2 linked regions of the Pelodiscus sinensis genome follow. The protein of the gene in region 2 interacts with the protein of the main gene of each other region in a pairwise test. Links are inferred from orthologs where the notes say so. Each region holds a gene or a part of one and is shown on either strand. Other genes may lie near its edges. The genes, in order: ARL14EP and SETDB2.

Evidence for each region.
Region 1: the proteins of SETDB2 (region 2) and ARL14EP interact in binary tests that used the Homo sapiens proteins (3 or more experiments, as listed by UniProt). The two-hybrid records come from large-scale screens. The link is inferred for Pelodiscus sinensis from reciprocal best matches to the Homo sapiens genes SETDB2 and ARL14EP.

The regions. Positions count from the first base shown.
Region 1 is NC_134714.1:95,808,943-95,818,013, reverse strand, and holds the start of ARL14EP (ARL14 effector protein), read right to left. Parts: upstream 3,515-9,071; 5' UTR 3,356-3,514; intron 1-3,355.
Region 2 is NC_134711.1:289,767,511-289,776,623, reverse strand, and holds the start of SETDB2 (histone-lysine N-methyltransferase SETDB2), read right to left. Parts: upstream 3,622-9,113; 5' UTR 3,451-3,621; intron 3,444-3,450; exon of another isoform or gene 3,309-3,443; intron 3,303-3,308; exon of another isoform or gene 3,040-3,302; intron 2,440-3,039; 5' UTR 2,119-2,439; coding exon 2,085-2,118; intron 1,754-2,084; coding exon 1,670-1,753; intron 1,344-1,669; exon of another isoform or gene 1-1,343. UniProt on the Homo sapiens protein: Histone methyltransferase involved in left-right axis specification in early development and mitosis. Specifically trimethylates 'Lys-9' of histone H3 (H3K9me3).

The sequences.
Region 1 (9,071 bases), on a different chromosome or scaffold from region 2:
CAGAGAATTAATTTTTACATATTTCAGAAAGTCTTTAAGGTGGCACATTAAACACTAAAATTCATTTGGGCTTAAGCTTTCATGGGCTGGAGTCCACTTCAACTTTTACAGAATGCTCTTGTTCTCCACTATAAATAAATTCCATACATTCAGTAAGTCTTTCCGATATTTTGGATCAAAGTGTTTCATACATAGAAAAAAGACACATCATTTCAACATAACTCCCATTTCTCTATGTATTAGCTTACACTTGTCTTCGGCCTTAGTGGCATCGGAAGATTTTCTGTATTTTTTCTATTATTATTTCTTCATTCATTTTTATAAGGAACATTGTCAAACCAAAATGCAGTCAATTAAAATTTGATCCAGAACCCCTGTCAAATTTTGTGGCTTTACCACCAACTTTCTATTTATTTTCATATATTTTTCTACCCTCCATTGCTTTTTTAAGAGAGCCACAGAAACTGGCCAAAATGACTGATTGGTTTGTTTACCTGCCAATTCTTCATTTATAGTCAGTTTTATGGTTTTGCTTAATATAAACAAACTAGATATTTTCCTCTCTAATATTTTTGAATTATAAGAATTTCAATTTTTACTTTGAGCAATAGAAAGCTATTTCTTCCCCTTTGACAATGTGCCTTTAAAGCTTTAAGTCTTATAGCTGGTATATAAATTTTTGACTTTTTGTTTTCAGAACTTACCATCTGAGAATATAACAAGTCAGATTTATCAGGGTTTGCTTTGGAGCATACCAGTGTTCCCTCTAAGCTGCTGGGCAACAATCAGCCCAGCCCAGTCAGAGAGACTCCTGGCTCTTTGCTAAGCAGGCTGATTAATCACCTGTGAAGCTGTACTGCCCCACAGCTTAGAGGGAGCACTGGAACTGAAATGATTATTTTAAGTATATTAAGATTTCCAACATTTTTCAAGCTTTATTTTGCTAGTGATTTCACTTATCCAAAATAATTGCTAGATAAGTACTTATATTTTAATCTTATGCTTCAAAAATTACATTTTAGAGTATAATCCATACAGGACCATACAAATAATTACATTCAATATAAAACATTTCTTTCAACAGCCTTTACCAAAAATGTGTTTTGGGTAAAATTATAATAGACAAGGAATGATTCTGGCAATGGTGTAAGCTGTATACTTATAGTCTGGGTCTGAGTATGTGCAAGAGAGAAAAAACGTTTGTTTTATCCTTCACTACATGTATATTTCTGAATGATTCCTTTCTCTCCTAGATAAAAGGTGAAACAAGCTCCCAGTTTTGCAGATACATTCAAAAGTTGAAAAATTGAAAGACGAATTTAAAATAAGATTAGTAAAAGTACTTGTTATTTGCCTGCATCTATTTTCCTTAAAAACAAAACTGCCAGACAGTTTTTCAATTGCTATTTTTGGGCACCTGCACTAATTAGACACCTGCACTAATGTAAAATTGCAGTACCTGAAGTTCCACCTGTGATCTGCTTTGAGAAAGCACCATTTCTATGGGACACCACTGTGCATTCAACAATAAAACAAAGTTTATAGGTCAGTAAGTTTATAATTTTCCTTTGATTTACATGTGCATGCTTGGCAGACACTAAAAGGATGTTAAATATCAAATAGTCGAATTTCCATCAATTACTCGATAAGGCACTTCCACATTCCTATTTGAAATGTACAAGAGCCCCAGCTGGGGCTCCAGTACATTTCAAAGAAGGAATGCAGAACTCCACATGCAGCCCAGGGCCAGCGGGAAGTCTCGCTGACTCCAGGCTGCACACGAGTGCCAGCTTTGAAATGTACATCAGTCCCCAGCGGAGGCTCTTGTGCTTTTCAAAGTGGAAGTGCCCTCATGGAGCCTGGCATCAGCGGGGGAATCAGAGTCCCCCACTGACCCTGGGCTCCATGCTGCACTGCTGCTTTGAAATGCCACGTGGAGCCCGGGTAAGCTGGGGACTCCCCAGCAGACCACCAGCTCTGCACTGGAACCCCAGCTGACCCCGGGCTCCACACAAATGTCATAGTAGTGTTTCAAATTAGTGCTGCATGGAGCTGACCCTAGACTCCATGTAGCGCTGCCCCTTTGAAATGCCATGGCAGTGTTTCAAACGGGCAGCACTGCACAGCTCAGCCTGGGATCAACTGTGCGGTGCTGCTGCTTTGAAGTACCCTGTTTCTCTCCCCCCCCCTTTGCTGCCTCACACAGCAAGGAGGTGGGGGGAAGGAAGGGGAGGACAGCCAACTAGTCCTTAACATCCTTAGTATACACATAGAAACCAATGGATTTCAAAATTGGAAAAGGTAGAAGTATATTCAATTGTTTTAAACCTAAAACATGCAAAATGAAACCGTTCAAAATTTCACACAGCAAAACCAGATTTTAAAAAAAGATCTTGTATTCACAGCTCCAGGATTTCCGAATCGGAATTTACTGCTTGAACAGATCAAACAAACAAGTCAAAATGATTTGGGATGCAGATGCTCAAGGCACAATAAAGCACTTATGTAAGCCAAGCCAAGAATACTTGAAGGAGCAGTGCTGTGGGAAAGCAGGGAAGCACTGCTGAAAATTGAAGCAAAGGTGGTAGGAAATTAAATACAACTAGACAATAAGACTGTGTTATGAGGAAAAAATGGAAGAACAAACCAGAAGCTGCAACTTTGGGTCTCCCCATTCCCAAATTGGTGCTTTTCATTGCTCATCTATATCCAAACAGTAGCACTAGCTTTAGCCCCCCATTTTTTAAAAATATGTTGGATGTTTTTTATGTGCTTTAGTTTTGAGACAGCATCAGCCACTACTTCTGGCAAGCTTGGAAACAATGGAAATGTGGAAAGCTCCAGCCTATCTTGCTAGATATATCTCAGTACGATACTAGCCAAGTGGAATTATCTTGCACTTGGCTCTTATTTAATAGCCTGAGCAGGAGGTAGGGGGAAATGAGCGGGGTCAGAGTAAACGGGATACAGAGACAACGCGCGGCGCACAGCAAGCTTTATTAGAGACACGCGCACGCAAGCAGCGCTGGGGACAGAGATGTACAGTCACGGGCGGCGAGTCCACACCACAAGGCGGAGAGACCCAAGTTAAACGCGTGGCGGAGAAGGCGAGAGGCCGCTTGGCGCAGCCTGCAGCAGAAGGCAGCGGGGCCGGGGCTAAGCTAACAGCTCTCCGCAGCGCTACGGAGCTCAGGGCGACGAAGGAAGCGGCTGCCCGCCCCTCGCCCCGCCGCAGACCCGGCTACACGCAGGCCGCGAGACAGGGCCGGCCCGGCCCAGCATCGCCTCTGCCCCTCCCCCACCACACACACACACACTTCCGGCCCCTGCGCCCCCTTCAGAGGCCGCCCCGTACCTTGCCGTAGGTTTTCTTCCGCCCTTGTGCCGCCACGGAACCCGGCTCCCGAGGGCCCCCCACCAGAACCGCGGTGCTAGGGGCCGCCATGAACCCTGGCCGCGCACCACAGAGGAGCAGCGAGCGAGGACGCCGGGGCGGCTAGAGCGTCGCACCGCACCACTACCAGAGAGAGAGAGGGTAGGCGCCGCTCACGTGACCGCGAGGCGCAGCCGCGCCTGCGGGTTGCAGCTCGCGACGCTTCCCTTAGCGCCCGGCGGCGGCTCTCGCGCGTGTAGCTCGTCATGGGCCCTGAGAGCAAGTTGCGGGGGGGGGGGGAGCGAGGGGGCGTCTCGTGCCACTCCGCGGGACTCAGGAACCCCGAGTCAGCTGCCGCCCTCCCACCAGTGCTCTGACCCCGGGCGGGAACCTTTTCCGACGGGGGGGCACTGACCTAGGGAAAGAGCAGGCGGGGGCTGCACACGAGCGAGAGGCAACAAAATAAAACACCCCTCGTGATGCGGCCTCCGCACACGCAAGAGCCCATGGAGTGATCCTGTCCCCTGGTGGGGCAGCAGGGGAGCTGGAGCGCCAGCAGGGGCTCCCCAGTGCAGGGGGGGCGGGGCTGAGCCTTGGGGGCTGGATCCAGGCAAGCGGGGAGCTCCTCATTAGAGCTGTTCTATAGCCTGACATGTTTTGGGTTCCAAATCTGAACTCCAAAGTGTATACAAAGTGTACCCCAAACGGTGTGTCAGTGAATACACTGTAAAAAGTCATTTTGAAAGGAAGCAAAACATTCCATTCCAAATAAGGTCACTCCTGCATGTTTCTGAATGGATCATCTCCATGGGACAAAATAATAACACGATACTGTGTGTGTAATTTGCTACTCTCCTTTCTTCCTTTGGTCAGGATCCTGAAATCTACCATCTCATGATCACTGCTTCCCAGGTTGTCACCCACCTCTACTTCCCCTACTAGTTCCTCCCTGTTTGTGAGCAGTAGGTCAAGATGCACATGGCCCCTGGTCGGTTCCTTCAGCATTTGTACCAAGAAGTTATCCCCAATATTCTCCAAAAACTTCCAGGATTGTCTGTGTACTGCTGTATTGGTTTCCCAACAGATTTCAGGGTGATTAAAGTCACCCATGAGAACAAGGGCCTGTGATCTGGAAGCTTCACTCAGTTGTCCAAAGAAAGCTTCGTCTACCTCATCCACCTGATCTGGCAGTCTATAGCAGATACCAACCACAACATCACCCCTGTTGCTTCCACTCTAAATTTAACCCATAAACTCTCAACAGTCTTTTCTCCCTCTAAATACTGGAGCTCCGGGCAATCATAGTGCTCTCTTACATACAATGCAACTCCTCTTCCTTTTCTCCCCCTCCTGTTCTTCCTGAACAGTTTATACCCTTCCATGACAGTGCTCCAGTCATGCCAGTCATCCCACCAAGTCTCCATTATTCCAATCAAATCATAGTCCTTTAACTGGACCACGGGTTCTAATTCTTCCTGTTTGTTTCCCAGGCTTCTCGCATTGGTGTACAAACACCATAGATAACTAGTTGATTGCCCTACCTTCTCCATCCGAATCAGGGGTCCTCCTTTGTTGCTCATTCCTCCTTGTGATTCTTCCTGGTGTCTGACTTCCTCACTTACGTCAGGGCTTTGGTGAACATCCCCCAATTAACCTAGTTGAAAGCCCTCCTCACTAGGTTTGCAAACCTGCCCGTGAAGATGCTCTTTCCTCTCTTGGGCTATGTCTACACTGACGGGTTATTGTGCAACAATGGCTGTTCTTCTGCAGAGCATCAACACTGCCCACCCACTCTTGCAGAAGAAGATTTACAGTAAAGCGTGGTAAGAGAGGGCTTCTTGTGCAAGAGCTACGCTCTTTTCTAACAGGTGTAAGCTCTCATCCACAAGAGTGCAGTGTGGATGCGTGGCAGGGGTTTCTTGCACAAGAAAGCCCAATGGCTAAAATGGCTATCAGAGGTTTCTTGCACAAGAGAGTGTCCACACTGCCATGGATACTCTTGAGCAAAAGCATATCTTGCATATAGCAGTCTGGATGTGTTCTTGCGCAAGAGTTCTTGCACAAGAACCCTTGCGGAAGATGTTCTTGCGTAAGAAGCCACCAGTGTAGACATAGCCTTGGTTAGGTGGATACCATCTCTTCCTAACAATCCTTGTGCCTGGAACAGAGTCCCATGGTCGAATAAACCAAAGTCCTCTCTCCAACACCACCTGTACAACCACGCCTTTACTTCCTCAATTCGACGATCCCTACCCAGACCTTTTCCTTCAACCTGAAGGATGGATGAGAACACCACTTGCACTTCAAATTCCTTGATCCTTCTCCCCTAATGAAATTTTGGCAACATTGATTCATTCTAGTTCCCAATGAGATTTTTTTTACAGTGAAAAACTATTCCACTGGTACATTTTTGACTTACTGTGCAGTGAAGTCATTCCAGTTACACTTTTTTCATATTTACAATTTTGAAAAGTTCTATTTGCCAAGTTTTCCTTTTTTCATTCAATCATTCTGATTGTGGGATGATTGGTTCATGGCACACTATAAAGTATTATGAAATACTTTAGGGAACCAAAGCAATGTGTTCATTTATACATGGTCATGAAATAAACCTTACAACATTGTTATGCCACAACTTTGTCCTATGTGGATACAAAGATGTAGTGGAGACCATTCAAATCTTTTACGTAATTGTTGCTGTTTTATTGGAGACTGTAGATTTCAATTGGAGTAGTCTGTCAACAGTGGTTGTTCAAGATAGATTTAGGGTCAAGCTCAGCTTTTGTTTTTGGAAGATGCAACAAGGTAAACAGCTAAGGTGCTGACACCACCAAACGGTTTAAATTACAGTCAAATGGTATTCACTGGGATTGCTCTAAAGCAGGGCTACTCAACTTTGGAAGCCTCAGGGACCACAATGATACTCACAGCACATGCCAAGAGTCTCAACTTAAGTTTAGTTGCATATACATGCAAATATACATACAAATATATATGCAAATAGCTTCTTTCACACTGATGGGCATGAATACAAAGATTAAGGCAAGACTACACAACATGCAGGTCCCATTGAAGTCAGTTCTGCTGATATTAATAAAATGCAATATTTACCCAATTTCCACGCAAATGACAGCACTTTTAATGAGCAATGACAGTCCAGGAATTTTAACTACTAAAATGCATATCAACTGAAGACCATTATATTGACTCACAGTTGTGGAACATGTTCCCAGTGAAGGCCATGTTCAAAGGATCCCACCTGCGGGCCACCTGGTGAGTAGCCCTAGTCTAGAGTATGAGTCTTCCAGTGACATTTTAAATTCCATCTTCATGTTTGTGGTGGTAGATTGTATTAAAAAGAAACAACAAAAATGGACTAACCATGCATTTTTAATCAGGAAGCTTATAGTACGAATGTTTTAGTTTAAACTCTTGAATGAAACTAATTTGAAAAGAGTTTATTTCTCACTATGGTTACTACTGTATTCTTATCTGTGCCATGTCAAATGAAGATAGGCCAGTATGGGGTTCTCAGGCCTATGAGTGGGAACAAATCACATATGAGACTCAAAGCAAAATACTGCAATTCTTACTTGTGACTAGCTGAGACAACATGATTAACAATAATGCAAAAAATAAAATAACCTGGCCAATTGTTAATGCTGTGTGCAGCTTTTGACTTTATTTTGTTCCCATTGATTTCAGTGGGCATTTTGCCTAAATAATTACCAAATACAAATTATAAAAATACTTCAGTATGAAGAGACACACTTAAGTTCACAGGGGTCACCCTGTCTGGAATAGCTCATGACTGAATGCCAATCTTAGGGCATTTGTTGCTTTTTACGTTTAACTGTCACATCATCGATGGACAGTCGGTGACATCCCTTTCTACTAATCACCAATAAACACTCCACGTATGAGTCTTTGCTCGGGTTAACACCCACTTAGTACATTTATAACCAAAAAGAATATAACATACGTATCTGGGACCCATTGTCCCCTTTGAACCACCCCTGGTAATGAGGCCCACCTGATCGGGGGCCGCTGTCCCTGCTCTCCCTAAACTCAAGTCCATCCTACCAAGTCTCTGGTTTGCATTGGGAGGCCCTCTCCAGTGAACAATTACTCAGGATTTTGTTCCTGGAATGAGCGTAACTCACCCACGTGGACCAGCATTGGACGGTAGGGGGACCCAGGCCCTTCCTCACTCTGGATCCTGGCCCAAGGCCCTAAGAGCAGGGGAGCCAATTCTCTGCTCAGTTGGTAGGGCTGCCGCTCGCAACTCACCAACCCGCGGGGTCGTTTGAATGGAGTCCAGATTACCCTTGCCTTAGGCTGCTTCCTACCACCCACAAAGTCCTCACTGTCCTGTCTACTCGTCGATGATGAAGCCTTCGGTCCCCGGTGTCTCTCCCAGGTGTCTTGTGGCTGGCACAAAGCCCATGAACAGCTGCCACTGTCCCTTGGACCCCCCTTGGTGCTCCAGGGTTAGGCCAAACCATCCAGCTGGCCCTGCTCTGCCTGGCACAGCCTCTCCACCTGGTCCCCTCCCTAAGATGCTGGCCAGTGCCATATAAGCGTCCCTGCCAGGCGGATCCACTCCCTTCAACCTGCGTCGGCTCTCCAACGCCTGTGTGGCTAGCAGCACGGGTGCACGCACCACAGCGATGCAGGATCAGGGCCTTCTCTCTCCAGAATGCTGCCCCTCCCCTCTCCACAGTGCGGGTGTTAAGTGCCGCCTGGCCATGAGGCATGAACGCCCCGTCACGTTAACCTTAGGGCAGGCTTTCTAAAAATAAGGTAGACGTTGCAAACTGGTGATGTGTTCTATAATTAAGTTGCACAAACCCAGTGACAAATTTGAGCTCCTTGATTATACCAGTCTTAACATGGAGTCACAGACAGTTTCCTTATACTCCCCTGTTTATCTTGCTACCCAGACAAACTGGATTTTGTGATAACATAAAATGGTCACACCAAAAATCATATCACATCTGGTTGCTCCCAGTCCCAAGTGACCAGTCACTTAGCAGTTAGTACTCAAGATCTTACACGAAAGACAACATTGATAGCCAAATCAATAGTAATCTAGTATGTTTTATTAGCTAAAAAAAGGAAATGAATTAGAGAGATTAAAGCAGGTAATATATATATATATATATATATATATATATCCACAGGTGGATCACAGTTTGTAATTCCAAATGGTGGCAGTGATAGAATGAGCTACTAGTTCCCACGGGGTACAGCTATATGGCAGCGTTATTTTGGAATAACTGATGTTATTCCGAAATAACAAAGAGCATGTCTACACTGCAATCCATTATTCTGAAATATTGGCGAGCTGGAAGTCTTCTTACTCTGACCCCAGTAATCCTCCGAAAGCCGAAATAAGCTGTTTTAACTTAAGCTACTCAATTGCCGTAGCTCAAATTCCCTAGCTTAATTCGCCTTTTGCCCTGCTGTGTAGACGTGCCCACATGTCTTTTCAGGATATTCAGATTCTCTATAGGGATTTCTGTTTTGCACTTGCTGCCCTTCCCTGTAAGAGTTCAACCAGTTCAGAGATGCAGAATGTTTCTTTGAATCCATATTTGTAGCTTCTTTTCACAGAAAATAAGCTGTCAGTGTCACCACCCAGATGGGCTTTTCCTTTGATGAAGGAGAGTAAGGAATGCATTTTGAGTCATCATAC
Region 2 (9,113 bases):
TATCATATTTGCAGTCTGGGACAGACCTGAATTTTTAGAACTATAAAAAAACCATAGTCTTCATCAGGTTTTTTTTTTATTTATTATTATTATTATTATTTAAATAGAGAGGAAACCATACCAGAGATCAACAAGCTGGAGTGAAACAGGCACTTCAAATTCTGGTAATTTACTTCTCAGTTCAGTTTAATTTTAAAAAACTCACAGGACATAGTAGGGCAGTAGTGTTAAATTTAAAATACATGGTGGGGATGCTTTTTTTTTTTAAGTGTGAAAATATTACTGTATTTTTAAAGGTTTTTTTTTTTAAATTTGATGTTTATTCCTTGTCAAGTTCTCTGCCTATGGACCGGCCATGAATTTTTTAAGTGACTGGAGACTTTTTTTTATTGGTTTTGTCCAAAATGTCTTGTAATGTTATTTTTATCACTATATTTTGTGTACTATATCTATATATAGATATATAAAAATAAATATATAATACATGGCTCTTCGCACTCTAACCACAGCTATTTGTCTCTTAGTCTCTAACTGGTTGGCCACTCCTGCCCTAAGGATGTTAAATATCAGTTAATTGAATAGTCGAGTAACCTCATGAATTCTTTTTGGCAGCCACTGGATCAGAGACAGCAGTGCAGTGTGTCAGGCAGGAGCTGGTCCATGAGAGGAGATTGTTTTTTAAACTAGCTCCCTTCACAGACCGGCTGCCTTTCACAGTGCTGCTGCCTCTAATGAAGTGGCAGTAGCCCCTGTTGGGGGGAAGGGAGGTTCTGAGCTCCCAGACCCAGCATTAGCTGGAACTGAGCTGGGCTGCCTGCCCACCCAGTTCCTAATATACTTTAAATGCAGAGCTGCAGTGGGGGTAGGTCCTGGGCTGGTTGTGAGCCAGGCCTGAGCCGGGCTGCTGGCTAACCTGCTAAAAAATGTACTGGCAGATGGTGGGAGGGGGAGGGAAATGTGTGTAGTCTATTGCATTAACCTATAATGCTATTGCTTAATCGATTAATCAACTACACTATTACATCCATAATAGCCACCTTTGAACACACACACACACACACACACACACACACACACACTTACAGTCCTATGTCAGCACTCTTAACGGACAACAAATCCTGTGAAACATGCTTGCACTAATCAAAATGCTTTTACTCCTTGAGGGATTGTTGTAGGAGGCAGCAAGCAGAAGGCCAGGCAGGTCTGCAGAGCCAGCAGGCACAGGGCACACCTGCTTGAAAACAGACTCTTTGCGTGTATCAGCTCCCACCTGCCACCCTTACCCTCTGTGATGCTGCCTCTCTATCATGGGTCAACTCCTCATGGGCACCGGCTCCCAATCCCTCCTCCCTCGATACAGAGGCAGCTGGGGGGGGGGGCGCGGCGTGGGGAGGAAGGGAACATGCATGTAGTTGACCAGATAACCCATAAGCCCAAATTTATTGGTTAATCATGTATCTACATGTTGACATCTCTAGTAATTGCTCGCTTAGCCCTCAAGGTGGTCTCTCTCTAGCTTAAAATGGGGAACTTGCACTGCAGCTGCTTGTTACACATATCCAATGGTAGACACAATTTCAGTCTTCAGGTTGTCATTCCCACAAGCATTATTCATTTACTGACACCTCCTCTAAGTCCCCCATAATGAAAAATATATAGATGACATCACCTTCACTTCTCTCTCCACCGACATTGCTAAGGGTCTCTACATCCAGGCACTCAGATGCTATTGTGCCAGGCACACTATAGGTATCTAGATAAAAAGATTACATAGAAATTAGATGCTGGCAGCCTTTTGCTTCTTACCAAGATTCTCCAAACAGCTTTCACTCAGCTAGCTTTAACTACAATAGGCATTTGAAAGAGCATTGCCTCAGAAGATATTTACAGGGAAAATCACGAGAAGAGCAAACCACTATGATATATACATTCTTTAAAAAAAAAAAATCAGTACAAACTCAGAGGCTTTAGTCAAACTGTGTCATGAAGGCTGGCCAATCCCACCCAGTTTAGTTATATAAAACTCCCTCAAAAGAGGTGTTTAATGACTATTAAAAATGCTTTATTAAAAAAAAAAATCTTACTTTTTTCTTTTTCCATCCTTTGAAGTAGTTGCATACATGTACGTTGTGCTTCAAAAAACAGTTAGAACATTACTGCACTAAATCCAGGCTAAAATAGAACATTATGAACTTGCTGTCCTAGAACCTTATTCCTCAATTTATTATATTGCTCTTAGAGAAAGTGCCAGATTCCATGCTGAATGAGGGGCATAGTTAAATTTCCAATGAAAACCAATATTCAAGCAACAAGAAGCAAATCTTCAGTTGCCAACAATTCTTTATTGTTGCAATGTTATCTCTCCAAAAACCTTAGCACCTCCTTTGGTCTCATGAAACCACTTTTCATTCTCCTTTGGGCCAAGAAAATTCCATTTCTCTGTAAGTTAAAAAAAAAAAGAATTTTAAAGTAATTTATAGTGATTGTTTTCCAAGACCTAGCAACGAGCATTATTTGCCACCAGAGAGAGACCAGAAACATGAATGTAATAAAGAGTACACTACCACTAAAATGAACAGTTTTAAAATATATTTAAAAGGATATTATCTAAGATCCTATTATCCCAAGGAAAGAAAGCAAAGATCTGTCGTTGTTTTTTAAATCAAGTTGGGCATTTGCCATCAAACCCCAATATCCGGTAATATAAGAGGATCTAAGCTTGCACACAATGCTTGATTGCATGCCCATTGACTTAACCGTAGTATGTGAGACGTCTCACTTAAGCACGTGCTTAAAATGTAGCTTTAAAATGTGGCTTTAAAGTGCTACATAGTCCTGTATTTTGTTTAAGCACGTGTACGACTGATTGCAGGTTGAGGACTAGGAATACGGACACGTTGGAGTGTCTGTTTACCACTGATTTGTAAAAGTGTGGGGGAAATGCTCTTTAAATAAGAACTACTCCAAAAGATCTGGCACAGATTTGCAATCTAGCCAAAGAAAGAAAATTTCAATAATCACAGCTAGGTTTGACCCAACTGCATTTTCCGGTTCTGTTTTTTGGAGGAGAGAGGGGGACGAAATACATTAGGCAAGACCGCCAGCTGTTAACTGCGGAGATATTCCCGTTCAGCTCCAGCCCGCTTCCCGGGCCAGGCCCGATCCCGCTGCCTCGCTAACGATCCCGCACAGAATCAGTTTCCAAAACCCGCAGGGGCCGGGGAGGGGACAGACCGGGCACCGCAGGGCCTGCCCCCCAGCCACTAGCAGCGGAGCGAACGCGGCAACCCCGGCGCTGGACACGGTACCTTCGCAGGCGACCACCCATTAGCCCTTCGCTCGCCCCGTTACCCGAACGGGCCACACCCCTCCTGTGGGCGTGGCTAGGCTCTGCCTCGGGAGCGGAATCTGCCCCCCCCCCGTTCCAGACCTTCCTTCCGTTGGACTCACATGGCCGCCAGGCGTAGGCTCCCCCAACTAGCGCCACTCAGTCACCAATCAGCAACCACAGCTCGCCGGCCATGAGGCGGGGTTTGAACCCGGTGTCGCTCGAAAGCGATGAAAGGATTGGACGCACTCGAATGCCTGCGCGTGCGCAGAGTAGCCGGCGCGCGCGCATCAGGGGTGGAGCAAGGGGAAGCCAATGGCTATCCCGAAGGGCAGCTAGACGGGTCTAGCGGTTCGTGCGCCGTCCTCACTTTTCATTGGCTGCGAGTGGCCTTTCGTGGTGCCGTAGGGTGGCCAATGAAATCGGGCCATCAGGACTAGCTCCTGAGGAGCGGCGGTGGCGGCTAAGGTGGGTTCGTCCGCCATGTTGGGTGAGGTAAAGGGGCGGAGTTTGTTGAGGCGGGGTTAGGCTCCGGGTCCCTCTCGCTGGGTGGGTGGGTTGGTTAACCCCGGGGGCGGATTGGGGGCCGCGGCGGGCACAAGCCTGGGGATTCCGGGCTGAGGGGGGGTGAACCCCGGGGCCGCGGCGGGCACAAGCCTGGGGATTCCGGGCTGAGGGGGGGTTAACCCCGGGGCCGCGGCGGGCACAAGCCTGGGGATTCCGGGCTGAGGGGGGGTGAACCCCGGGGCCGCGGCGGGCACAAACCTGGGGATTCCGGGCGGAGGGGGGGTGAACCCCGGGGCCGCGGCGGGCACAAGCCTGGGGATTCCGGGCTGAGGGGGGGTGAACCCCGGGGCCGCGGCGGGCACAAGCCTGGGGATTCCGGGCGGAGGGGGGGTGAACCCCGGGGGCCGCGGCGGGTACAAGCCTGGGGATTCCGGGCGGAGGGGGGTTAACCCCGGGGGTGGATTGAGGGCCAAGGCGGGTTCACCCCTAGGAGGCGCGTTGGGTTTTTTTAATTCAAGGGGTTTGTTTTCTTCCAAAGACTTGGATGGTTCCGGCCTCTTAGTTCCCATCGCGGTGGAAAGTCTGCCCGGTGGAGCGGGAACGCGGGTTTCTGCTGGTGCTCTAACGCGCCGCAGGAGGTTGGGGGCTGCCCGAAACCTAGCACCTTTCTTCTGTTGCACGTGATTGTCTGCCCGGTGCCCTTTGCTGCGCGGCCTTGGTCTCATTTTGTAGTACACTTTAAGTGCTACATAGTCCTGTTTTTTGGTCTCCTTTTGTACTGCACTCCTGACGCCGACCGGTCTTCCTGGTGTGTTAGGTGCTGGTTGTAGTACACAGGTTACAGCGAGAGAGAAGCTTGAGAGTTGTGGGGCTTCCTCATTGCTTTCTGTTACCCTGGCTGCTAGATCTTAAAGTTATGTTTTCTGTTATTGTAGTCAGTAAAGAGTGAAATAAGGCTCTGGCCTTTTTGAAGGCTGGAAACATGGCAGGGGATGCATCTCTTAAAAAGGTGTAGTGCAGAGAGATAGTGTTGAGGTTGGTGGTTATTCAAAAACCATTTCCAGGTTTGGCTGCTGAGCTGTGCTTCAGGCTGAGGCGCAATTCATCTTTCTCACCTTCTGTGTGTTACTTTAGACTAGTTTTGTTTTACAAGGCTAAAACAGGCCAAAATTGTAGTCTTCAGGGTAAGACTGCAAGCAGTACTTAACTGTCTCATTGCAGATACGGGGGAAACATTTCCATGTCTGTGATCTCTTGGGATCAGATACCTACATATTGTACTTAATGCAAATAATTTCATTTGCAGAATTTGACCTATTAAGATGTAGAAAGTTCCTTAAACTTAACACAATTTAAAATAAACTATCCAGTAATTATAAGAATTCAGATAATCTGTTGAGCTCCTTATTTGTCTGCTGGGTCACTCTGGTCAACTACCATGTGTAAATAAGCAGCAGGCACTTAAAATATTAGCTGTTACACAAATGAATACAGTAAATGAATTATTTCAGTTGTCCTCTCAGGCTGTCTCTTGTGACTCCGAGTGCTTTAGCATCACCTAATAGTGCTGCAGCAGTGTGGAAATGCAAATTCTTACAATAATTTAGATTATTTAAAAAGGTACTGTTACTATAGATCTTATACCAGCTTTAAAATCTGACATTTGAAAACTTAAAGCAGAGTTTACAAGATACTTTTGAAAAATAATAATACACTTTTCACAATTTTTTTTCCAGCACTGATATCCTGTTTAAATGGAATATAGCAGTTCATGTTTGTGTTTTTTGCAGAGTAATTTTATATTCTAGACTGAAATCTAACATAATAGCCTGATTGCCTCCAACCTTGCGATAGTAATTTAATTAATATTCAAGAAAAAAAGAAAAAACATTGAACGCAATTTTGTTCAATGACTATCTAAACCAGGAAACATGACATCAAATTTTTGTGGAATATCTGCCACTTCATATTCATTGTTTTAAATTTATAGAACGTGTTTGAAGTTCGCTAGTTAGTTCATGAGTAGTGGATGATAAGTAACTGACATGTATAGGGAGAAGGGCTATTAATATTGATGTTACCACAAACAAGACTGGGCCAAATATTTTAAAGACAAATTTTATTTAAAATAATGGCTTACATTTTCAAAAAACCCTTTCATGATTTTTTTGCTCTGAGAATATAACTATGTGAGCTGATGGTAATGAGACAATATTTCCTTTTAACATAAACCACTGTGTATACAGGCAAATAGAAATTCTAAGGAATAGTTAACCGCAAATGTATTTCATAACAGGATAAGTCACTTGCTGCACCAAAGTCATATATCAAAGTACAGTGTTAAACTTGACTTATATGTAAAACAGCTTTACCTTTAAACTATAGGAATGTCTCCCTATATTTTTATTATGTTGGTATGTGCACTTTGGTAGTGATTATTACTTAGCTCCCAAGTTGAGTATTTTAACATGGAATAGAACTAAACATTTGCTTATTCTTTTCATGATGTATTGTTCCATAAAAATCTGCATGCTGGGGATATTGTGATTATTTCATGAGAATCCAAACATTGTGTAAACACTTTTTCTCACCTTTGATTTTTAAGTACAGGCAGTCCCCGACTTACGCGGATCCGACTTATGTCGGATCCGCAGTTACGAACGGGGCTCGCCCTGAAGGACACGGACTGCGGGACCTCGCGGTCCTGCCGCCCGTGTACTCCAGGGCTTTCTCCACGTCTCCCTGGTCTGCAGACCAGGAAGACGCGGAGCAAAGCCGCGGAGGGGCTCGGGCAGCGGGGCAGCCCAGGCACGCCTGGGCTGCCCCGCTGCCCGAGCCCCTCCACGGCTTTGCAAAGCCTTGGGGAAGCCGGCAGCGGGACAGCCCAGACGCCCCGCGGCTGTCCCGCTGCTGGCGTCCTCAGAGGCTTTGCTCCCCGTCTCCCTGGTCTCCCCGTCTCCCTGGTAAGCTAGTACGCCCCCTCCACCCCCAGCAGACTAGGCTTTTCTCCAGACGCCTGTGGCAGAGCAGCTGGGGCGCTGCCGGTTGGTCCTGCAGCGCCGCTCTGGACGCTACTGGACCAACCCGGCAGCACCCCAGCTGCTCTGCCCCAGGCGTCCTGATTCAGCCGCTGCTGGTCAGTTTCAGCAGCGGCTGAATCTGGACGCCAGTTCCGACTTACATACAGATTCAACTTAAGAACAAACCTACAGTCCCTATCTTGGACGTAACCCGGGGACTGCCTGTATGCTTGTATTTGTTCTGAATGATGCTACTTAGAATTGTTTGTTTGGAAGAAAAAAGATTGAGAAATAAATACAATTTCTCATATTCCTACATACTATCTTCATTGTCTATTCACCTGATTAGGTTAAGAAGAATTTGTATCTGTATGTTGGTATAGTGGTTATATATTTCATGGCTTGCGAACAGCAAAATGGGCCTGGGCTTCTTTTCAGGCCTGCATGGATTGCTAAAATGTAATATTAGGAATCCAAATATAAGTGATTTAATTCCAAGGCCAGAAGGGATCATTGTCATCATCTAGTCTGACCACCTGGGTAAGAGGCCATAGAACTTCTTCAATATAATTCTTAGAGCATATCTTTTAGAAAAAATCCATCTTGAGTTTAAAAATTGTTAGTGATGTGGAATTCAGTTCCACCGTTGGTTAGTTTCAGTGGTTAAAAAGTCTATGTAGCTGTATTATTCTGTACATTTAAAAACAAGTCTGTTAAACTAAATTGTTTGATCTCCTTTAGTCCATCATTTTTCTTATACCCCAATCATTCTCATGGTTCTCTTCTGAATCCTCTTCGATTTATCAACATCTTTCTTGAGTTTTAGGCAGCAGAAGTGAATGGAGTATTGAAGCAGCAGTTACACTAGTGCCAAATACGGAGAGAGAATAATTTTTACTATTACCTGAGACTCCTCTGCTTATGCATACAGGGATTGCATTAGCTTTTTTTGGCCAGAGCATTGTGATGGAGGCTCATCAGTAGTTGATGATTCACTACAACCCCCAGCCTTTTTTGGAGTCACTGCTTCCCATGATAAAATCCCCCATTCCATAAGCATGGCCTATATTTTTAGTTCCTAGGTATATATGTTTACATGAAGCTATAATGAAACAATCTTGCTTGCATCCATTTTACAAGCAATCCAGATTGCTTAGTATCAGTGAGCTGTCTTGTTCATTATTTACCACTCCCACAATATATCATCTGCAAGCTTTATTAGTAGTAGTTTTGTGTTTTCTTCCAGATAATTAATAAAAATATTCAAATACCATATGGCTAAGAGCATCCCTGCAGGGCTCCATTAGAAACACACCTGTTCAATGATGATTCCCATTTACAATTATTTTTTGAGATCCATCAGCCACTTTTAACCCATTTATTGTGTGACATTAATTTTACATATAAAGTTTTTAATCACAAAGTCATGTGTTACCAAGTCTAATGTCTTAAATAAGTCTTATGTCAACATTGTTGCCTTTATTAACCACACTGTAATCTAATCTTTTAAAAAAAGTTAGACAGGATTGTTTGTCATAAACCTATGATGAGATGCTTTAATTGCATTATTCAATTAATTTTTACTAAGCTAATCCCATTTCAGTGCACCATTGTCTTGTCCAAGATCAGTGTCAGACTATAATTACTGGATCATCCCTATTTAACCTTTTGAAATAGTTTCACGGAATTAGCTTTCTTCTAGTCTTTTGGAATTTACTCGGTGTTTATAGATTTACTGAAAATAAACATTAACAGTCCAATGACCATCTCAGACAGCTTTTAAAATTATTGGTTGCAAGTTATTTAAACCTGATTTTAAAATGTTTCACTTGAGTAGCTTCTAGTTAACATCCTCCTGAAATACTAGTGGAAAGAGAGCCATATGATGTCAAATTTTTCCTAGGTATAACACAGAAATTTCTGTTGAGCATATCTGTCTTCTCTGCATTGTTATTCACCATGCTGCCACTTCCATCTAGTATTGACAAATATTTGTTGGATCCCTTTTGTTCCTAAGTACACTTTTAAAACTGCTTGTAACTCTATCCTTAACTCTACTGTTCTTCCCTTATAAATCAAAAACTAGAAATCATATAAAATTGATGTTAATTGCTAACAACTTCCCACTTCCATTATCTATATTTTTATTTTTATATCTGCCTTCAACTTTCCTATAAATCAGGTCAGATTTTTTTTAAATAAATATGGCTGTCTTCCTCAGTTGTAGAATTGTGGAATTTTGAGCATCTAGTTAAAAG